3 linked regions of the Drosophila melanogaster genome follow. The protein of the gene in region 1 interacts with the protein of each later gene in a pairwise test. Each region holds a gene or a part of one and is shown in the gene's direction. Other genes may lie near its edges.

Region 1 (7,417 bases):
CGCCCACACACACACACACACACACACAATCAGACACGCGAATCTATATAAATAAAGAAATACAAATTACAAACAAGATACTCAAACAACTTCTAGCAGCTATAAACAAATGCAATAAATTCTTTTTAACAACAAACGCAAACTGTTTTTTTCATATGGGCTGATGGCTATTTTTTTGTAAACCCATCATAAAATATATATTATTTTCAATAATCATAAATAAATTTATTAAAAACATTAACTGTTTCCATGCTTAACAATTAACCCTTACTTTAGCAACATCTCCATGCTTTGCTTTCATTTACTTCTTGGAAAAAAAGTTCATAATGCCAGCTTGTTTGGTTTTCGGCGCATCCTTTCCAGCTTTCGCGGCTGAAGGCGGTGACTTCTTTTTGTTGACGGGAGCAGCAGCCTTTGGGGAAACCTTTTTGTTGGCAGGCTGGGCTTTTGTTGGTTTACGCTGCGTAATGACGAAGCCATCTTCATCCAGATAGGTTTCATTGGCCGGTTCCGTATCCATTTTCTCATCCAATGCGATGGTCTCTTCATCGGCGGACTTCTTGGGCGGCTGCTCCTCGTCCTCAGAGTCGCTGATTCGTCGCCGCTTGGAGGACGAGGCCTTTTCCTGATCGGAGTCGTTGTCCGACTCGATCACCTTCCGCCGCAGCATGTCCAGCTTTTCCTCCTCGTCGGACGATTCGGCACTCTCCTCGTCGAACAGTTGCATGGAAGTGTTTGCCGTTGTTGGCTTTTTGGTGGGACTGGGGGATTTCTTTTTCGAGGCTTCCTTTTTGTTTGAATTGGAAGCATCTTTCTTCGATTTATCTTCGGATTCCGGTGGCGACTTCTTGGCGCCTGCCGGTTGCTTCTTAAAGAAGTTGTCCACGGTGCCGGACGTCGATTTGCTGGGCGTGGCTTTGACATCCTTTGGCTTGCTGGCCGCCGCTGTGAAGAAGCTATTAATGCTACCCTTTTTGGCTGCTGCAGGCTTGGCTTTAGAGGCCTGTTCCTTGGGCGAGGTCTTCTTATCCTCCGGAGAGGACTTGCTGGCCACTGGCTTTTCCGCCTTCGACTTTGCTGGCTCTGATTTAAGTGAAGATTTTGAAGGCTCCAACTTAACCGCAGACTTTGATGGCTCCGATTTAGTGGGTTCAGATTTGACTCCATTGTGGGGAGTCGTCCCATTTGCACTGGGCACTATCTTTCCCGCTCCAGGACGCTGCTCCACTTTTGCCAACTTCACCTCCAAATGCTGCATGGGCTTGAAAATCGCAGCCGGCGCTTTGGTGCCACCGGCTATTTTCACACTATACAGCTGAGACTCCGCATCCTGGACTTTGGCCAGCCAATCCTGCATCCTGCTCTCCAGCACCACAGAGTACAGATCTTCGCCGGAATCGGATCCTTGCGTTTTACGCTTGCCATGGACTAGAAATCTCTTCTCGAATTTTGTGGCAGGTTCCTGCTCTTTGATGTAGGCCTCCAGCACATCGTTCACCTCCTTGTAGGACAGTTTGTACTCCTCCAGAAGATCGGTGACCAGCACACAGCGATCGAAATCGATCATGCAATCGTCGAGAGCCTTTTTAAGCGACATTTCGACAATTTGTTTAGTTAAAATTGCGCGAAATCGTATTGCGGGCGTGCCAACTTATGTGACTAAAAAAAGTGCTAAAACTCACCAGCAAAATAATGAATACTGAATTCGAAAATTTGTGACTTTGCTATGCATATTGTCAATGTAGAAAAAGGCGTATTTATTAAAGTTAATTAATTAATTATTATATATATTTAGTTGCTTTTTTTTGCTTGAATTATGAGCTTATTAATAGACTTTACATTTAGCTTAAATATAGCTAAATTGAAACAACTGCTATCTATCGATAACATCTACTTGCCGCTATTGCAAAGATAAGAAGAAGAAACGAGAAGTAAACAAACCAGATATCCTAATAAATTTTGATTTCTTTTTAATGCCCAAACAATGCAAGTAAATCCAAAACACAACACAGAAGCTCACAGACAAGCCGAGTAAGTGATAAAAATACAAGTGAATGCAGCAAGTGTAAGACCCAATTACAGGCAGGATGCCAACAAGGCGCGAATCACCCAAATTGAGGAGTTCATCAACGAGGTGCTGAAAGAGGATCTCAGAGAGCTGGAAAAGTGCATCGGGCAGTACAACGAGGAGATCATGGAGTACGTCCAGCTGAAGAACACCCTCCAGACCTTCGACACCCACCTACCAGATGGCTACAAAACGCAAGTCAACATCGGCAGCAACGTATTCATGCAGGCTCGCGTTCGGAAAATGGATAGCATTCTGGTCGATGTGGGCAAGAATGTGTTCCTCGATATGAGCATTCCAGATGCGGAACGCTTCTGCGACACACGCGTAAAGATCTTGACCAAGCAATCCGATGTCCTGCGCGACGAAAGCGTCAAGAAAAGGGCTCAAATCAAAATGGCCCTCATAGCAATCAGCGAAAGAACCAAACTTATTCAACAGGATGAAAGCAAATAGCTTCGCTGCGTCCACAGAAGCTGAAAGCATCTGTATCCTTGTTCGTATCAGTAGTGATCACATTATTACCAAGATTACACAAGCACTTAGTTTTTATTTTATACCACAATTTACAAAGACAATTTACAAGTTACGCGCCTCCAAAGTGTTGATGGCATAGAGATTTTGGGTGAGAACGATTTTTAAATGGAAGGAGGAGTTGCATGCAAATCCTGGCGACTCCTACGACTGATCCTGTGACGATCGAGTACGCCGCAATATGGATTGGGCCACCGGTTGCCCAATTCCAGCCGGACTTCCTGAGATCAAGGAGTTGCAGTACTGATCGTTCATAGTCTGATTCTGGTTAAAAATCCGCTGCGAGGTGCTGGTCAAGTTCTGCAATCGCCTGGCCATCTGCGGAAGTCACCAATAGACACCAGTTAGACAATAAAGTTAGAAAGTATTATTTTAATTCCAGCTGCCCGTTTAAGAAGTCCAATGGTTATCCAATTCGTCAAAATTTGGAACAGGCTTGTTGAAAATTAAGGAAAAATTCAAGTTTTACATGGTTTGGTGGCATTTTGGCATATAAAGATTTGTGAAAAATTTGTATATTTCCAACTCACATCGTTCCCCGCCTCGGGATTGGTCAGACCGCCACTCTTCGGAGGTGGACAACTTATCGCCGAACTGGACGCGCAGTTGACCGCCTGCTTCACTCGTTTTATCTCCGTCTCCAAGAGCTTGTAGTCTCGGAATAGATTGCGATAGTCCTCGGCCAACGTCCGGTTTTCGTCCAGCAGCATGTGGATGTGTTCCTCGGCCCGCTTGGCGCAAAGACGCATCGCCTCATCGGCCCTAACCTGGGCGTCCTTCCATTTTCGAAAGGAGTCGATAATCTGTTCCTGCTGCTGGTTAACTTCGGTCTGTTGACTGGCGGGAAGAGAGAACATGGCAGCTGCTCTTATATGGATGCACTCTATCCTGGAAAATTACCTACTTTAGGCGGATCTGCATTTGCTGGCAATTTTCCGAAATGGTGCGCAACTCCTCCCGCAGAGATTCAGTTGTCTCGTTCATCCGCTGGATACTTTCGCGATGCCGGATGTCATCCAGCTGCAGATGGCTCTGCATTTTCCGAACAAGAGTGCGCATCTTTTCCATCTCCAACTGGGCACTCTTTTGTTGATCTTGAAGTGCCCGCTCTCGGCCCGAGGACACAGCCTCCTTCTCCTTCAAAGCGACCACCTCCTCTCGCAAGATTTTGCGCTGAAATTCATAATACCTCAGTTTTCTTTGTGCCCAAGGACGACAATAGTCGGATACGCCACCTCTGTTCTCAGCTCATCCTGCAGCTGCTCCACCTGATCCAGTCGCGTTTGCAGGCTCTGCGCTTTCCTCTTGGCGTCCTTGAGCTCCTGGCACTGATCCTCGAAGCTGGCCATCAGGCTTTCGTACTTCGTGCAGAGTTCCACGCTTTGATTTTCTTGGTTTTTCAGCAGGGAAGGGAGGTCTCGCAGTTGGCGGGATAGATCACCTGATAGTATACATATATATATATATATATATAGAAAGAGCTTTTAATTGAAAATTATAAGTTTTCTCTCACAATTCTTCTGTTTGAGGACATGCATCTCTTCTTTGAGCCGATTGTTCTCGCTGAAATCGGAGTAGCTATTGATCATGGACTGCAGCTGGCTAATCTGGTTATCTCGATCCTTTAGATTTTCCTGCAGTCCCTTGATTTGGCAGGAAAGTTGTCCGTTCTGGTGGGGAAAAAAGTGGGCGAGAAATCAGAGAAACGATTAGGAGCAATTTGGTAAATGTGTGCTTTAGTGGATCCAACTTGTATCTCCAGTTCACAGTTGATCCGTGACTGATCGACGAAATGGAGCTCGGGCTCTGGGCAGGATTGGCTGGCTAGTGAGCTCTGCTGCAGCTGCTGCTGCTGCTGCTCCACCTGTTCGGTCAGCTCCTCGAGATCCCTTTTGAACTCATCGATGATGCTGAGGTAATTATCCCGGGTGGCCTGCAGTAGATCCGACTCGGTCTGGCAGTGGAGCAGCGTGTGCTCCAACTGCTGGCGGTGGGGGCAATCGGTGGAGCTGTTGCCTGTGTTCTACAAATTCAAATTGAGTTGTGGCTCACTTGGTTGGTACCGCTATTCTCGAGGCTTACCATGGCCACTCGGAAATCGGTAACTAATTGCCTGCAAATCCGCGCACGAAATCACCTGTCAGTTGTCAATTGTCGATTGCAGATACGCGGATGTACATATCTATGTGTTTAAATCGTTTTCGGTGTCGAATGCCTAGAAATGGAGCCTTCGTGCCGCCGAGCTTGCAAATATATCTCGCAAATATGACCCCCAGACGAATTTTGGCTTCATTACCGTTTCATTTCATTTCAATAATATTGCTATTAAAAGTTTGTCACGAAAATAAAACCAATTCGAAACGTAGGAGGTGGCAAGGTTTCGGGTTTCCGGTTTCAAAGTTTCGCTTCTTTGGCACTTTGGCAACACACAAGTTTGTTGGGTGCTTGAAGGGGTGGGGGGTGAAGGATGGTTGAGTGGGGGGGGGGGGGGTGACTTCCCCTAGTTTTATAGATATTATTATTTGCGCGGCCCGACTGTTTGACACGATTTGAAAATAAAGTTAGTTGCAGCGGGTGGCAGCGAATAGTATTATATCGTCTGTCTATTTCTTGGATACGATAGATATATGGATATTTATGAATGATGAGTGGAGGGGAGTTGGGCGAGCGTGGCTCGGCGCACTTAAAACACTTTTAAAGGCATATTATATTGCAGTGGGTGGGGCGGGGGGTTAGTACTACGAAATTGATAGCTCAGGCTCGGGGAAATGTGAAAATCGATTGGGACGGGGGCAATGAATTCTTATGATTCCTTGTCTGTCATTAAACCCATTAGCGGAGCCCAACAATTCGCTTTTCCATCGGCTCCATTTGCACATTTACGGTTCGCAGCACCAACTTTCTTCACTGCACTTCGCGTCCCTCTTTGCGAAAGCACTCGAAAACAATTTGCACTTTTGGCCAACTTTCTCCTTTCTAATTGCCCGATTTTCCTTTCGTTTTTCGCGCCGAAAAGATAATCAAATCGACGGAGCGCGACTTAGGCGACTAATTACGCCTCGTAAATTGGCTGGCGAGGATTTGGCGCGTTATTCCTGGCGCTTCCTTGATTCGCTTCACGCGACTAAACGGCCAAATCCGCCGACGGATGACAGGATTCTGAAGCGAACTGCTCCCCTGCTGGGGCTTCCTGCCGAGTTGTGTTTGATTTTGCGCCCGACAGTTTCGCCAAAGAGATGATGGCGTGAGGGGTGACGACTTTGTTTATTGTTCACACCTCGGGAATTAGTCATATCTAAATAAACATTTATTTAGGTAATTACTAAATATTTGTATTTGCACTGAGCTCAATTTAAGTTGGTTCGGTATTATGAATTACTTAGTGCATACGATCGAGATCGATGTAAATGGTCGTGGTCCTTGCAGTCACGCGGATCACGAGCAGTCCTAGTCAGTGAAGTCCCAATCCCGGCGGCACTCATCAATATGCATATCACTGCTCGCCGGAATCGCGTGTCGATTGTGGGTAAATAAATAACACGAAACCTATTTCCGATTCGCCAGCTCCACTGGCTGGAGGGCAGAAGGTGCTCCCCCCTCAGGGGCAATTGCAGTTGAACATACAGCCGAGTTTCCACAATAAACACATTGGCGAACGATTTGTATTTGTCGTATGTAGACATTTGCCCGGCGGGATGAGTGAAGTGGATCTCTTTCTTTTGTGTCTGGGCCCAATATATATATATTCATATATATATATATATGGGTAAATAAATCGGGGACTCGAATGGCAACAGTAGTTCTTTTGTCAATCCAGCCAGGATTTACCGAGTATATACTGTACCGAGTATATATGTGAAGGCGAATGTCGTTTACCACATAAGAAGAAAGTTCTATGTGCTGAAACGTAAATCGGAAATGTATTTCAAGCTCATAATTTGGTTGGGATATGAAAGAAACTTTATTTAAAACTAGTTCATTTCATTAAAACTATTCATTTCAGCAATCTGTGATTCTAGTTTCTGTTTAACCATATATAGATAGATATAGATTTGAGTGGAGTTGAGTTTTCGTGGCGAACAATCGCGATGATAAATAACTTAAGAACGACAAACTTTAAGCTAAACTATACAAACTTCTTAACGTGGCTTAGATTAGACTAACTGTTTAGGAGGCCCAACAAGTGACATAGTTACTTGGAGGTCCTAAACGTTGTAGTTGTGTTTTTCGTTGGTATAGTTTTAGTTGTCGTTGGCTTGTTTGAAGGTTTAGGTGTTGGTTGTTGTTTGTTTGTTTTTGCCGTGGCTCCCGGGATTTTGGTGGTTTTGGTTGGCTTCCTTGTTTGGGAAGGTGTTTTCGTATCGCATTCCTGCATTTGATATGACAACCGGGGTTATTGGAATCGGCTATTGGTTATTTGCGATGCAATCAAAGCCGTCAGATACTCACAATTTCCACTTGATTTTGCTCCTGCTCGAATTTCCGTGCAAACATATCCGCAATGGTCGTACAAAATGGATTTTCTTTCGAGGATTCGTCGTAGATTTCGTTGTAGGAGAACTCCTTGGAACCCTGAAATGATGCACATATTTTTAATATGCATTTCCTGCAATCCTGCAGAATAGAGAAGAGTCTTAACTCACCAACGAGCAGATGAGTTCGGCGATCTCCCTTAGAACATCGCTATTTCTTTGAAGAACGCTGCTTTCCGATTCAATCCTCGCCTCCAGCTCTGAAATTTTGACTTTTTGCAAATAGGGAAATAGTTATAGCAAAAGTATCGAGAATCGGATATACCCACTTTTCGACTCGGTG
Region 2 (7,059 bases), on another chromosome or scaffold:
ATGGCGGAGTGCATATGCAGCTCCTGCAAAAGCGGGCACTCGATGGTACGGATCGTACTTGCAGGAATCAATATCCCGCACCTTGGCCTCTGTGGCAGCCACACGGGCATGATGCCAGGATGATGCACTTGACTTAACATCATTGTCTGCCTTCTCCTCCAATGGATTGGAGTCCTTAGTATCATCCGCCTCATCTTTAACATCCTCGTAGACCTCCTCATCGTCGCTACCGAACTTGTCCAGATCCGCACTGATTGGTAGAACAACTTTGGAACCTTCCTCCACTTCCTCAGAAGCTCCAGTGCCGCCAATTAGCTCACGGCGCATGCGCAGCAACTTGTGGATGACGATTAAACAACCAGCTGCAATGTGCGGTGGAGCGTATAGGGTCAACTGCAGCAGACGCTTCACGAATGCCTGGGCCCTGGCCACATGGTTGTCGATGTGGATGGCACGATGTACAATATGCAGTAGATGAGCCGCCGTTTTGCTACCCACATTAATTAGGTTCAGATCCAGCAGCTTTACATATAAAGCATTATAAAACCGATCCGATTTCTCAGTTTTTACTGCAACCAATTGCAGCAGCAGGCCGAGAGTCTGTACAGCGACCCTAATGTCAGCCAAGTGGACCAATCGGTAGATGGTGTCCTGCATTTCCTTGGTGAGTAATTCCCCATTGCTATCCTTTGCCGGCTTAGCCTCCACGATAGCTTTTTGCAAGCATCGAAGGATGGCCTGCATGGTCCTATTATTTACGGCTCCCTTCTGCACGAGAACCTTGAAGAGGGCAAAGCATATATTGACCAACTTGGTGCAGACTTCGGGCCGGCCAGAGGGTGCGATGCTGGAGAGGAAGCACAGTGCAAAGTGCTGCGCTCGCTCGGAAATATTGTTACGGAAAAGTAGCTTCTCCGCTTCGGCAACAATAACACCGCACATGTTCGGATGTTTCTGGGCCACCTCGCTGAGGTGATGCAACGCCTTGGAGGCAATCTTGGCGATGGGATCGCCCAGTTTGTTTACCAGCATGGTTAGCAGCAGCTGCTCCTTTTCGGGAGCATAGGCCAACAGCCTGGCTGCTGACACAATAGAGGAGTTCTTATTGTGTTCCTGTCCAGTCTGCAGGCCCTGCATAACGTTCTTCAAGAACTCGTGGTACTGATCCTTTAATTCGCTCTCAAAATGCCAGTACGCGTAAATGCGGCGCTTCTGTTCGTTGCGCAAATTCTCATCCTTTTTCAGCTTTTTCCAATCAGCACCACGTGTGTGCACCGCCAGGAGTTTTCTGTTTGGCGGGAGCAGCACCTCCTGCCACAAATCCGTGAGCACTGCAATCACATCATTGCTGGCCTTGTTGGAGATCTTGCAGAAGCCAATTAAAGTGCTCAATGCTTCCAAATTGCCCAGTGGATTGCTCGTCACCAGAAGGGCGCCCGCATTGGCCCGATCCTTTGCAGTACCCTTGTGCAGAGCGGTTTGCAACCAGCGAGCATCCGAGGGATTACCTAAAGATGAGATAAAAACATTAGTAGGGGTTCCAATTTCCGAGTCGAGAAAGTCTTACGTTTATTAAAAGTTATCTTCTCCGCTTCGAAGGAATTCTTGCAGAGATTGTACAGCTCCAGCTGATCGTTCTCCTTCATGTCCAGCACCTCATCGGTGGACGGATAGTCGGGATGCTAAGATACGATAGTGATAACTATAAATGATTTATTTCCACGATTTCAGTTTAGTTTCAACATACCACATGATACCACTTCTTTTGGGACTCCTCGTCTTCATCTATTTTTGACTGATATTTGTTGTGCTTTTTGGAAATGGAGTCCCCCAGTTCCTCATCACTGTCTCCATCGCTGTCGGATACATTTTTTCCAGCTCCATCCTCATCAAACTTGATTCGTTGGGGCTTTTTAAAGTTCTCCTTGGACTCTCCGTCATCTCCAAACTTGATTTTTTGGGACTTCTTGGTCGGTTCCGTCTTTGTGTTGGAAGAATTCGCAGTTACTTCATCTTCTCCATCATCAGTGAACTTGATTTTCTGAGGTTTATTGGCGAAGTCCGACTTTTGACCATTATGTTTATGGTTGTTTTTGTTGAAAGGTTTTTGATGCACTGCTTCTCTATCCTCTCCAAATTTGATTTTCTGTGGTTTTGGTCCATTTTTATGATTTTGGTTGAACGACTTGGAAGCTACTTGTTCTCCATCATCGCCGAACTTTATTCTCTGTGGTTTGTTGGCAAAATCCGGCTTTTGGTGGTTCTTATTAAAGGACTTAGCACCTTTCGCTTTTCCATCCTCTCCAAACTTAATTTTCTGCGGCTTTTTCACCTGTTCCTTCCCTTCAAATTTTGGCCTTTGTGGGTGCTCCTTTTTGTTTTGTTTAACTACCGCCTCGCCGGAGTCGTCGAACACGATTTTCTTGTTTTTGGGCGGTCCACCGAATTGCACACCTGTGGCCACTGCTGCCGGCATGATTTTATATTTTCTAAAGCTATATATTAGATAAAAATCATTAAATAAAATAAACGGCGTTAGAAACAACTCGCACGTGTATTCAAATATGACATTCACCGCGAAACGTAAGCAACATATGTATGTCGTCTACTTAGTGACGAATTTCATTGTCTTTATGATATTAAAATTTTGTATTTAAAATCTTAAATAAGAGAGTATCCAACTTAGTTTTAAAATTTATAAATTATTCAGTAATTACCATTGAAATGACCGTGACTTTTGATAGCAGGTGGGTTTGAAGTTATATAAAGCTTGAAGTTATTATAATCTGATTATAAGTAAGAATAAAATTGAAATTCTTATATAGAATTACTATTAATTTATAAATTATTACATTAACTTATGTTTAAGTAACTGAAGTTGTGCTATATTTTCTTTTACCGTTACACCATTTTTCCACAATACATTTACGGTCTTACTGCCTTGACGCGCTTGGGATTTGTTAGGACGTTTATCGCATAGTCCTCGTGTTCGGTCTCGTATTTTGAAAGAAAATCGCAGATTATCGCCAATTTGAAGCGATTATCCCGGTCTAGATTTCGAAGGGGTCCTTTTGGATAGCGAACATTGCAATGAGCACCGAATCGGCGAAGCCGGCACTCAGCCAGGAGGCCATTGTGGCCCAGTTCCAACAGCTGCGCAATGAGCAGCGCAATTTGGTCAACAGTTTAAATACGCTCGAAATGGATTTGAGGGAACACAAGTGAGTCACCGGGGGCCCAAAGATGGATGACACGTCTGTTTGTGATTTTGGGCAAGTGGGAGAATCCCTGCAGACACAATGACATAACTCCTTATCCTCCCTAGAACTGTGATAGAAACTCTGGAGGCGGCGGATCCCGAACGGAAATGCTTTCGTCAAATTGGTGGTGTGCTGTGCGAAAGGACCGTGAAGGAGGTGCTGCCACAGCTGGTGGAGAACAAGGATTTCATCGCCAAGACCATCCAAATGGTCACCAATGACCTGAGCAAAAAGGGCAGTGAGCTGAACAAGTTCAAGGAGGAGCACAATATCAAGATTCGCGGCGAACACTTGGTTGCCGAAGGAGCCAAGGGCGACGATGCGGAGGACAAGGCGGAGAACCGTAATGTCCTGGTGTTCAACTGAGAGCGATTGATTACCTCACCACACCGTATTTATTGTGTCTATGTTGAGAGGGAACTCTGCCAGGATTTGCGAGCGATAATCCGCGTTTATTGAACACTTCTAATGTTGTATGTACTTCTAGCTGTAAGGCGCAGTTCGCGAAACGCCTCCAATCGCACCTTCACACCAACACTATCCATCAATTCCCCTCATTTAAACTTAACCCACTCTGGCCACGAATTAAAGATACCTTAAACTTCCGATTGAAATTAGTCATGTGTCTTGTGATTCATTCAAGATCTGAAAATGGATGGACCTCTATCCACCGACTGGAAACAAAAACTATATAAACTATATGATTATTTATCCCTTTTATGCCATTTGTTCTGAAACATTTTATTGGTATGTTAGTCAAATTAGTTTCCTATAAGGAAGTGATTTCATCTACATTTTTACACTTATGTATTCTTGCTTCATAAGTCTTTTAATTTAATATTTGTGGCTAAATCAAGTAAGCAGTAGTTTATTTTCCATTCCCCGTATCGTGGTTAATCCGGTTAGTCGGGTATTCGACTTATTCGACTTCTGTAACTATCCCATTTTGCGGCTCCTCCCTCTGGAAGTCCCTTTTTCCGCCGGATTTGCTTAGCAGGCGGACATTTGTGATGCAGATATCGTGAGAAACAGCCTTGCACATGTCGTACACAGTTAAAGCGGCCACTGAAACTGCAGTTAGTGCCTCCATCTCGACTCCAGTTTGGCCCGAGCAGCGAACGGTTGCCTCCAGCCGCACAGATTGTTCGGTTTTCAGAAGAGTGGCCTGCACTTTCACGGAGGACAAGCTGATGTTGTGACACAGGGGTATCAGTTCGGCGGTTCGCTTAGCGCCCATTATGCCAGCAATTTGGGCTACGGTTAGAACATCTCCCTTGGCCACTTGATTGTCGGCTATAAGTTGGGTAAGTTTCTCACCCACCTGAACGGTGGCCTCTGCACGAGCTAATCTTGTGGTCGAAGGTTTTGCGCCCACATCCACCATTTGGGCCTTGCCCTGGCCATCGACATGGGTGAGTTGGCTGTAATTTCGGGCCTGAAGCTGCAGCCTTGAAGTATGATATGCGTGGTGATACGAATAAGGATGAAGATGATGATGGAGTCTTGGCGCAGCATCTGCAACGGGAGAGGGGAGAGAGTGTGGTGTGTCTACTAGCCGCCAATGAGTATCATGGGCCGGTTCTCCATCTGCGACAGGTTCAGCATGCCTGCGAAGGAGTACCAAGTTCTGAAGACTTTCTACGTTTCATTCGGAATCGAAACTCACCTGCATGCTGTTTCTTCTTACGCTGGACGGCTGCTCCAATGAGATCCACCAACTGTTCCTCGCTAACACTCTCATCTCGCATGGCATCTCTCAACGAGAACTCTTTGTTGCCAAACAAGCACACCTTTATGTTTCCATCCGCAGTGAGTCGCAATCTATTGCAGGTACCACAAAAGTGTTCCGTCATGGAGGTGATGAAACCGACCTGACCCTTAAATCCCGGAACTGCATAGGCTTTAGAAGTGTCATTAGGTCCATTGGGAAGGGCCTTGAAGTCTGGCCACCTTTGTCGAATGATTTGCAGGGTATCTTTATACGAAATGAGCCTCTCTGTATGCCACTTGTTTCCGGAGAATGGCATGTACTCTATGAACCGCACATCTACCGGACGATTCCTGGTGAACTCAACAAAATCACAGATTTCATCCTCGTTGAAATCCCGCATAAGGACGCAGTTCACCTTGGGGCGATAGCCCAATTGGACAGCTAAATCAATGCCGGCTATCACCCGCTCCCATCCTTTTCGCCTGGTGATCTTCTCAAAGCGATCCCTTTTCAGCGTATCCAGACTGATGTTCAGGTTATCTAGTCCAGCTCTCTGGAGCGGCAACAGCAGGCGTGTCAGCACCAGGCCATTGGTGGTAATTCCGATTTGCTCCAGTTCGGGTAGTGCTTTCATTTGTGCCACTATCTCTACGATATCCCTGCGCACAGTTGGCTCTCCGCCGGTCAAGCGGATCTTTCGCACTCCCTGCTCCACGAAAATTCGAGCTAGACGAAGGATTTCCTCGGTGGTCAGGAGTTTGTTTTTCGGCTGTAGCGGAACGCCTTCAGCGGGCATGCAGTAGTCGCCTGAAAATATGACCACATTATAGTTATAATAGAATTTTCCAATTGGAATTTAATAAAAGTTAACTGAAGAGTATCATGGAAGTTTCTCGAATTCAAGTTAAGAACATTAAATTATCTAATATCAATGGGGGGTTTGCTATCTATCAGTAATCGAAATCAGAAACGTTGTTAATGTCGCCAAAATTATCTGATTATAATAGCAGCTACAAATGAAATTAGACCATCTGCTCTAATTTGTCAACAATTGGCTGATATGGTTGGACTCCATAACTATTATGTTGACCGCAGTTGTGCGTGTGTAAGACACGAATTTCGCCACATTATTCAATCAAGGCTGGGATCCACTTCACTGCGAGTATTATCAAATAGGTAAAACAATAACAGGGCAAACTGATAAGGGTCGAAAACATAGGTGGTTGGTTTACTTACATCGCAGATTGCAGCGTTCGGTTAGAGAAATTCTCAAATAGGTGTGATGCCGGCCAAAGGAGTCCGTGAGTGGCGAATTCTGGTTAAATTTTCGATTAGCGAAATCGATACGGAAACTTTGTGCCCACCAAATGGAGTACTCACCTTTCTCAGCACCTGTTTCTCCGGCTCCAATGGCTGAACACTTGCCGTGGCCAGATTGAGGTAACCGGTTGTGGCCTTCAGCCGGATTGCTCCTCTCGAAAGTGAAGCCACCTCGCCCGCGCTATTCTCCTGACCCAGCAATCGAATCGCGTGTCTGGCCAATAGCCGCATGTTTTTTTGTTATTTGTATTTTGATTGATGTTCTCTCAGCTAAAACGAATACAATTGGCTTACGTAAGCCGGCAATTTGCGGGGGGTGGCACGAGTTGTTGGGGGATCTGTTGTCGCTGGAGCGATTTCGGACAGTCAGACTGTGATAAGCAATTACATATGCTGACGGCGGTCCTATGTCCTACGAATTGATATCGCCGATTACGCGCTCTCCGTTTCCAACTGCAGCCGGCGAGCGTTGTTTATAAACTAAATTGAGAGTGACGATCATATGGACGAGCTGCCAGCGCAGCTTTCGCCAAAGCTTTTGTTCTAGTGCCAGTGTTAGGCAGCATTTGAAATTTTTTGCCGGTTGATTGATTGTATGGGGGGGGGGGAGCCACCAGGGGGTTGACGCTTCAGAGCTTTGACCTGCAAAAAACCTAGCAGAAATGAAGATGCAGTGACAGCAGTTTACTTATAAGTGAATGGAGTTTAATTTCATTTATTTTAGTACAGTATACAATAAATGATTAATATTTGCTATACAGATGTAAT
Region 3 (8,888 bases), on another chromosome or scaffold:
ATATAGAACCGAGTTTTAATCATAAATATGAGGCAAAGATATTATTTTGCGCTTCTACTTTGGGGAAATTAGAAGTGGGGTTTCTTCATTTGATCTTTACTTACTCGCTGGTCATGGCTAGCGCCTGAAGTACGCTATTCATGTAGCAGGTATTCCCCAGGTTAACGAGTCCAACCCTCGCATTCCGCCGACCCCACGGCTGGGCATTCTCATGCATTGCCTTTGCCAGAGCCACGCAATTCGGAGAGGGCTCATAGGTCTGCAGGGCTTTCTTGGTTGCGACATAGAGCTCATCCTGATCATAGAAACGTAGCATTAGGGCGCTGGTTAGGTCGACCAGTTGCTGCAGACATTTCTTGGTTTCCAGGCCAATCTCGTCCATGGTGGTCGACTGATTCTTCACATACTGCAGGACTCGTGGGATCCTTGGCAAGATCTAATAGGGTAACCAACCAAATGTCAATAATTATGTTGAAGCTAATGTTTGAGTGAAGTGTTTACCTTGTGAAAAACCTCGGGGGTCTGATTAATCGTTGACAGCATGTGAAACACAACCGGTGCGGCCTTTTGCCTCAGCGCCGGAAAGATCATCACGTGGAACAGCTTCTCGATGTTGTCCATTGCAATCTCGTCGAGCAGCGCCATTTTGCCCTGATCCCTTAGCCCCTTGAGCAGCGCCAGCACCCAAAGATTGAGAGTGCTGCAAAAGGTGCAGTACGTGATCCAATCACAGAGCAGGTTCACCGTCTTCTTAATGCTCGAGTCCTGCACATTCTGTTCCAGCAGCGAGTGTACAGCCTCCAGGATCTGCGTGGAGTCGAACAGCTGGAACACAATGGCCACGGCACACGAGGGTGGTGGCTCGAATGGCGACTTGGTGATCAGCTCGTAGACGACACGCAGGTAGAACATTTGGTGGAACTTCTCGTTGCGCGTAGCCAGAAAGGCACCGACCTGGCAGACGTCTTCCTTTAGGCGTGGACAGGATGCGCCTCGTGGAATTTGCAGACGGGCCAAGTCCACGATAACCCTCTCGCAGATGGCCATCACATTGTGGCCTTGCTCCGGCATATCGATGCTTTGGAGGTATGCCAGCAGGGCCTTAATATCCCGCTTGCCCGATCGGTTGGAGTTCAGGCTCTCGCCAGCGGGCGAACCCGTGTCCATGCCCTTTGGCAATACGTTCTCTTCGGCATTCGCCATTCCGTTCGCGGACATGGGTTTGGCGTTGGGCGGAATGCCGTTGCCAGCTCCTCCGGCATTATCCGAGGCATTATCACCCGCCTCGCTGTTATTCTGCTTAACGGCCATTTCGCGTTTCAATCGCTTGGCGTGGGCGTGGACGTGAGTGGCACAAAGGCTTGCGGACCACAGGGCCGACTGGAACTTCCAGTTGCCGATGGGCGGAGGCGTGGGCTTGCCTAGCGCCCGAACACAGCGGCTTTTTCGTTGCCTGCGACTCTGAGCGAGGAGTCTGAGCCGCGTGTCCTTGAACCGCGCTCCGTTACGTGTCGTCGTTACGATTTGACTGCGACCTTTCAACGGGTCTCGAGTGCGCCTCGATCCCTGCCCGATCCTGGCCAGAAACTCCCGCCACAAGCGCTTTAGAACAGAGTCCTAGACGAGTGTGGTGCACGGTAGGGTCGGTGGCCCGTGCCACATCTAAGGCGCCCCTTTTTTCGGATTACCCTGCTCGGCTTTAGCTTCGATTGCTTGCTCACACGTCGCCCGTTCGACTTAATAACCCGAATAGATTTGATTCGCCCTAAAAACTACAATTTTGACTGTTTTAAAACGAATTCTTTGTGATATTTTTCGGATTTGTTAATGTTGTCTACTGAGTCAGTGAAAGCGTTATCGACACGTTCAGACTGAATGACGGGCAGGGCGACTCTGCACGACAAGTCGGGGTGGGTGAGAATGAGGTGGCACAAAATTTGTAATTGCATTTATATGGTGAGTAATACATACTAAACGAAATAATAGTATTTTGATTTATGTTGTTATATTTAGCCCATAAAATAGTAAGTTAGGTCTTACAAACAGCGCTACCAGATCCAGTCAAAATTGAGGAAGCCTGAACGTCTATAGGCCTCCCAAAATGGCGTTGCCATGAAAAATGACAGCTGTTCGCTGCGAATGGCTATTTATGTTTGTTTTGACTCGGCTTTCGAATATATCGCAAAATATATACAGGAAACATTTATATTCACAAAAATCTGTACGATGCACCCAGGGCAAATTGAGGTCAACGAGATCAATGGCTATTGGACATTTCTGCTGAGCGTAAGATACTCGCCTATATACAATCAAAAATCAAGAATCCGGCAAGTTGTCACTATTTTTGCAGATCGATTGGAAGGATCCCTGGCTTATTGGCCTTATTTTGGCGCATATCTTAACCACCACCACTGCGCTGCTCAGCCGGAACAGCTCCAACTTCCAGGTTTTCCTCTTCCTAGTACTGTGTACGTGGACTTGGCGGCTTCCTTGACTTACCCGATAAATGACTCTGATTTTTGCATGTGCTTCATCTTCCTCAGTGCTGGCAGTCTACTTCACCGAAAGCATCAATGAGTTCGCTGCTAACAACTGGAGTTCCTTTTCCAGACAACAATACTTCGATAGCAACGGCCTGTTTATCTCGACAGTTTTCTCAATACCTATTTTGCTTAATTGCATGCTTTTGATTGTAAGTTATAGTGTTTCCACTGCATGAAGTGTGTATTTATCTTTGCTTATTTGCAGGGCACTTGGCTCTACAACTCCACGCAGCTGATGGTGACTCTAAAAACAGCGCAGCTCAAGGAGCGAGCTCGCAAGGAACGCCAGACTAAGGCGGATTCGGAATCCATAGCACATAAAAAGGCAGAGTAGAACTTACGCCTGTATTACATGCAGTTAAAAGCACAAGTAGAGCTGTGAAATTATATGTTATGCTTTAAATGGATTTTCCTGTCATCTAGATGTAGTTTGCTGCACAGCTCTCGTCTTTAAAATAAATTTAATTTAGTATAATCAAACTTATAGAATTTGTAAATTTAGGCTATTTTTACATCCTGTTTTACTTAGCGAAGTTACAAACCTAACATGCCCTTCATATTAAGCAAAAAATCACACCAGTTACCGTTGCCACCTTGGTAAAGCAGTTTTTACTGCCACCTAAAATTTTCTATATATATCACGTAATATGAACTATTTTGATATTTTTGACGAAATTAACATTATAGATCCAATCAGCTTATTGCCTGTATCAATTTCTGATCTGTGTGCCAAGACTGTAATTTCAAATTAGAAGCTCGTTGGACCTGTGTCATTTTTTAGTACGAATTCAATTGGGAGCCCTTCGTCGTCTGGTAACACTGTCCAACGATTTTGTTGTTGCTGGCTTGTGGGTGTCGAAGCAGTGTCGCGGCGCAATGTTGGAAGTGGTTTTTGGGTAAACAAAATCCGTTGATAAGATATTCGCACGGAGCTAATCGCAAATCGCGCTGCGTATTTACCGTTGGCAAGCCAGAAAAAAGTTTTGCATAGCATTGCGGTTTAAAGCCAGGCTCAAAATTCCTGCGAGCTCGCTTGTGTGTGTGCGTTTTTGCCGTCGGTGTGTATGTGTTTTGAGCCCATAAGCGTAGCCCGAAAAAAAGAAGTTTTTCTGTTACCATATTTTTTACCAAAGGCCAAAAGGGCGCAGCATCTTCGCTCTCTATCTCGGCGCTGCATCTTGCTCTCTCGTTCGCTAACGCGAGTTTGGCAACTCCGTTTACCGTTCATCGTTTATTGTGTGTAAACAGCAGGTGAAAATAAAACGCGATAAGTGCAGAGAAACAGGAGAAGGAGGAGAAAGAGCAGCAAGAAGAAGCAGCAACTCCGCGCAGCCCAACAAAAAGTGACGTATTAAAAAAGGTTGCTAATTACAAAAGGTAAACAACAAATAATGTGCGGATTATATTACCAAATTCCCGGGCATAAACAATACCAATAAAATGTTGCTAAGATTGCCCTTCCACCCCCCTCACTTACCCACTGAAATGCGTAGTAGATTTCCGCGATAGGAAAACTCGGATGAGTGACGCGTTGGCGACGCAGCGCACAGTGTTCATTCATAAAAAGTGTCTGCCCCCCTGCGCCCACTCCCAAAACACTCCCCCCTCCCCTCCACACTTTGAACCAAGCCTGTTTGTGGTTGCGCCTGGAATTTAGTTTACAACTAAATATGTTTGCGGGCAGCTAGGAGGAAAGTTCGGATTTGGTTGTTTTTGCTATGTGGGAAACCATAGTTAAACTATTTGCATTCCGTTGGAAAGTCTAGTGGTTCACGCCACGCCCCATGTTCGCTCGTTCACGAAATTATGAAATTGTGTAAATTATATTAAAAAGCTTAACGGGTATATTGATATCTCCTCTATAATACTTCATACAAGATAAGTTTAAGGAACTGAAATGTTTGAAGTTTTAATGAATTTCCTTAACTATTGCGTCTGGTTGACATCCAAGTTCGCATAGTTGAAAAATTCCATATCAAACTGAGCCGCATGCCTTAATAACTAGACCTTTTGCTCATTGAGATTAGATCACATACCGCCATATGGCAGTCGGTGAAATGATTAGCTCAGCGAATAATTAAGCGTCGTGCGAATGAAAAGTCACACACACACACACTGCAACTTGGTGTTTAGATTAGAGCATTTTGTATCTTAGCCCACCTTTGGCAATCGGTGATATCGAATAGCAGGAAAAACAATAATACGGAATTTATGGTCAGCGTGTCGCCAAAATGCCAAAGTCAAGCGAAATAAATACATAGAAATAATGAAAGAAAAAAAACAATCAAAATAACTCGGTGACATCATTTTGACTAATCGCCAATTTTAGCATTTGAAAAACGGCGGCTGCTCGCCCGGCCCACCAACAAGCGCGCGAAGGTGCGAAGGAGAGAGTCCACCAGGGAGGGGGCTGCGAGCGAGTGCGGGAGTGGGAGCGAGAATGAGAGGGGGAACACTCGTGGCAGGTGCGCCAAGCCGAAGTTCAAAACGAAGCTCAAACCCGAATGCCAAGCGGCATTCCGAACCACCTACAAGTCGGCAAGTAAAATGGATCGAATGCTCTTGCGATATCAGCGAGTTTCACTTTCGAGCCCCTCATCTATACACGAATACTATCTGCAATCGGAACAATCACTAGATAATCCCACGATCCAACATTAAGCGCATTGCTTTTATCACAGGTATTAAATCAAAGCCATGCATTTGGAAAAGTGCGCTTGCCATTTGCCAAATTTAAGTGGCTTTAATTGGCTGGTTTTTACGACTCATTGGCATTATGACGATCTTTAAATTTTACGATTAAATGCATAAATCAGGTGTTGAAGTGTAGTGCAAGTGGTTGCTACATATACCCCTACATAAATAGAATCACTCCAGAAAAATATGGCATTCAAGTTGAGTTAACTACTGGCTTGTATTGTAAGCTAAGAAATTGTTAAGTGGTAGCTATTCTCAAAAGCTTGCGCACAGGGGTGCCTTTCTTTAACTCATTATTATATCCATTTATATCCATTACGATCAAATATTCGTTATATATGGAAAATTGCCTAGCCTACCGTGACTCTATTGCCTGCCTGTTGATATTTCCCCCGCGGCAACTTCGATCCGATGCAATTAACTCGAACATATTGTGGCTCATTACGAGGGGCATTCCAATCTGAAGACGAAGCGACTCGATCTAGTTCACAGATACAGAGCTGCATACACGCATCCCACTGGTTATTTCGGTTAATTTTGATGTGTGCTGCTAAGAGCCGAGAGTGCAGAGGACTAGGCACCACTGCTCCACATCCCCAGATATTTCCGACACTACGTGCGCTGCGATGCGACGTGTCGACCGGGTGGGTGGAAATTTGGAAATGTTGTGAAAAGCTAAATGAGGCGTGACACGAAAAAGAAGGCAGAGGGGAAAAAAGAGCAAAGCGACAAACACGCAGAGCAGCATGGAAAAAAAAAGAAAAAAACAAACAAACAAACAGAGCTGAGTGCGGCCACCCACAACATGACAGCCGCCACAACAATGGCCATAGTAGCGTCGAGGAGCAGAACGAGAACGTGGTGCCCACCAAATCTAGCCACGGAGTAATTTCGGCCTAGAAAACAAAGAAAACGAAGAAAACTGCCCAGTTGTCTGCGGAAAAGACAAAGGAAGAATGGAAAACCAAGAGAGCGGAATGAAAAAGGGGGACCAATTCCGCACAAGGCGCACAATTAACCCTTTCTTTGAAGTCAGCGGCGAATGTATCCACTGTCCACTTTCCACTGGGCTTTAATTAGTTTATGGAACAAGCGTCCCGGCTCGGCTAACTGCAATAAAATTAATCGTTTATGCTGTAATCGCATTTAGCGGCGCCGACCTCCTTTCCACTCCTCTCCTCCCTACTCCTCTCCACACCGGATTCTGGCCCGGATTTCCACACCCGCAGTGGCCTCGTTTGATGTATGGGATGTACATACATTTATCGCGGGCGACAACTTTGTTCTCCATAACCAAGAGGCAGTCATGTGTGGGCATTCCATTACAGGGGATTTTCGCTAGCGATTGGAGCGTAAAGCATCTGGTTATTTTAAGACCAAGCCCATAATAATAAACCCAAAGGGCTAACCATAATTGTTCTTGCTTTACAATCAATTTTGCTCAAAAAAAAGAAAAAGAAAGAAATAACTCAAGAAACCAATTAACCGCAAACAGTGAAGTCCAGAGTCCACGAGACGTACATGCTCAGCAGCAGGAGTAGCAGGATGCGCGACAGGATTGGCCACAGCAGCCAAATCCACTGGAGCACATCATGCAGCTGTCCGCTCCGTACGGAAATTGATAGCACGGGGAATACGGGCGGGGACCACAGGACCACGATCCGCCACGAGGACCACAAGATGGCGCACAACCACCTCTGCCTCTGCCTCCACATCCACCTCTCCCTCCTCCACCGCCTTGGCCGCCTCCTCCTCCTCCGCCATAGCGGGAGTCACAGAAGGTGGTGCCAAAGGGCCCGTTACCGCCACTCCATCCGCATCTGGTGAAGCCCGAGTACTCGCCATACGGACAATCGCCGCACGCACGCTCCGGATAGGGTCCAATGTAGAACGGATTGAACTGTCTGCAGCTGGACATGTTAGCTGGCTAATATCGGAGGTCCATCAATTGGAAGGCATTCGGTATCAACTACTCACATTCTGGACTTCACTGTGCGCGGCCAGTGAGCTCCTCTATTCGGTATAATTTCGATAATCGCCTCCAACAATTGCTTCGTTATTTCCCATTAAAAGCCGAAAAGCCAACTAGACTGCCCATAAGTATGGCATTCTATGGAGCCAACTGATCCGACTGATTCGATCGACAGCGGTGGGGGTTAATATATGGCCATTGTTTCATCTGGCGCGTGTTTTGTTTGTAAACACCGATCGTGGCCAATAAATATTTGGGCATCGGACTTCCGCTTTGCGAATGGGGGGCCATAATCTAAATATTGTTTATTTACAATATATGTGAAAAGCATTGGCAAGAATAGCATTTGTATATTTGTATATTGTTTATTTGAGTTTAGTGTGCAATAATCGAACTAACTAAAGAGGGAATATTAAATATTTGTAGTAGACAACTCTGTCCACTTCAAACGTGCTTATATCAGCACAGTGGCCTCTGGCTAAGCTGCATTGATTGGTCAGATTGTTCGTCGTCGTCGTCGTTGTCGTCGTGGCAATGCCATTATGTGTGACAGTTGCATTCCAAATCTCATTATAGATTTATGCAAAGTGCAGGAGGAAAGCTTGGAGAAAGGCAGCCGACTTGCAGACTGGCCCACGATTTCCATTTTCCATATGCGTGGTGACTGTTGACCACTTGGGCCCTCGTTTGCATTGATTTGTGGGGCTTTCTTTGTCATCCCTTTTTGTGGCAACCTCTTTTTGTCTGGGATTCGATTTCCAATCGCACTCCCAATTCGATTGCAGTTCCACTTGATTGACTTGACTCTTGTCGTTGACATGGCCACAGTTTCCCAGCGCGCAAATAGAAATAGAACAAGAGGAACCCACAAGTGGGTTTGGTCCGGTTTAGCCGAATATATCTTATCGTTTGCGGTCTGTTTGCTTTGCAGATCGTTATCAACGCTGCTGAGATAGTGGAACGCATTGCAAATGGATCGTGAAATGGGGGAAAAAAAACCCGCCCACTTCAAATGCCTTGTGTCTTCTTTATTTCGTAAGAGATTCCGAGTGCGTGGGTGGCCCACATTGGGTCATTGGGTTACAACATTCAACCGACAAAGAAGACAAACAACACCACCCACATAGTGCGCCCACTTTTTAGTGGCCTTGTGCAAAACACTTTGGCCCACTTGGGTAGCGACATTCTGTCTGCTACTAGCGATTTTCGGACTCGCTTGGCCAATTAGCTGGGCATTTAGAACGCTTGCAGCTCGATAGCGTCAAATGCTCGATTTCATTACGTTTCGACCTTAGGTTTTGTTTCATGTTTTTCACGCTCGCTTTTCCGCTTTTCGCTAAGCGCACGTTCAGATGCCAAAAATAGGGCGTGACTCAGGTGATAAAGTGGAAAATATTTACTGCGAATCGTTTGCTCATCTGTGCTAATTATACTGGGGATTGTCATCGATGGATCGATGGTGTTGGCTGGTGTTGAAACGGTTGTCACACCCCGAGTTTATAAATTGTACAATATATCCACAGCTTGCAATCAGTTGCAAATTCCTCGACTAGTTATTTGCATATTTCGTTAGGAATTTGTATCTAAGCGTGGGTGGCTGGTGCTCATTAATCCGTGGATTGCTGCAGGTGCAGGTCACTCCAAGGGTTACTATTTCGGATAATGAATAATGCAGT

The links.
Region 2: the proteins of Uxt (region 1) and Pfdn2 interact in a two-hybrid assay, tested with the Drosophila melanogaster proteins (one large-scale study listed by BioGRID).
Region 3: the proteins of Uxt (region 1) and Dyb interact in a two-hybrid assay, tested with the Drosophila melanogaster proteins (one large-scale study listed by BioGRID).

What each region holds. Positions count from the first base shown.
Region 1 is NT_033779.5:15,254,667-15,262,083, forward strand, and holds Uxt (Uxt prefoldin-like subunit), read left to right. Parts: upstream 1-1,914; 5' UTR 1,915-1,984; coding exon 1,985-2,031; intron 2,032-2,082; coding exon 2,083-2,524; 3' UTR 2,525-2,746; coding exon of another isoform or gene 2,747-2,920; 3' UTR 2,921-2,976; downstream 2,977-7,417. Other genes in the region: PolD3 (DNA polymerase delta subunit 3), read right to left, coding at 302-1,597; yuri gagarin, read right to left, coding at 2,747-2,920, 3,133-3,439, 3,507-3,775, 3,838-4,043, 4,116-4,272, 7,052-7,174, 7,246-7,346, 7,404-7,417.
Region 2 is NT_037436.4:11,070,278-11,077,336, reverse strand, and holds Pfdn2 (prefoldin 2), read left to right. Parts: upstream 1-2,948; 5' UTR 2,949-3,090; coding exon 3,091-3,221; intron 3,222-3,325; coding exon 3,326-3,626; 3' UTR 3,627-4,045; downstream 4,046-7,059. Other genes in the region: Noc1 (nucleolar complex protein 1), read right to left, coding at 1-1,508, 1,568-1,682, 1,748-2,476; Mocs1 (molybdenum cofactor synthesis 1), read right to left, coding at 4,180-4,775, 4,927-5,778, 6,208-6,286, 6,352-6,522. UniProt on the Drosophila melanogaster protein: Binds specifically to cytosolic chaperonin (c-CPN) and transfers target proteins to it. Binds to nascent polypeptide chain and promotes folding in an environment in which there are many competing pathways for nonnative proteins.
Region 3 is NT_033778.4:12,433,971-12,442,858, forward strand, and holds the start of Dyb (dystrobrevin), read left to right. Parts: upstream 1-3,374; 5' UTR 3,375-3,419; coding exon of another isoform or gene 3,420-3,439; 5' UTR 3,440-3,920; intron 3,921-6,662; exon of another isoform or gene 6,663-6,765; coding exon of another isoform or gene 6,766-7,158; exon of another isoform or gene 7,159-7,167; intron 7,168-7,217; coding exon of another isoform or gene 7,218-7,219; exon of another isoform or gene 7,220-7,350; intron 7,351-8,888. Other genes in the region: DUBAI (deubiquitinating apoptotic inhibitor), read right to left, coding at 105-436, 502-1,311; Tmem18 (transmembrane protein 18), read left to right, coding at 2,227-2,286, 2,351-2,468, 2,544-2,692, 2,749-2,877; CG30334 (uncharacterized protein), read right to left, coding at 6,766-7,158.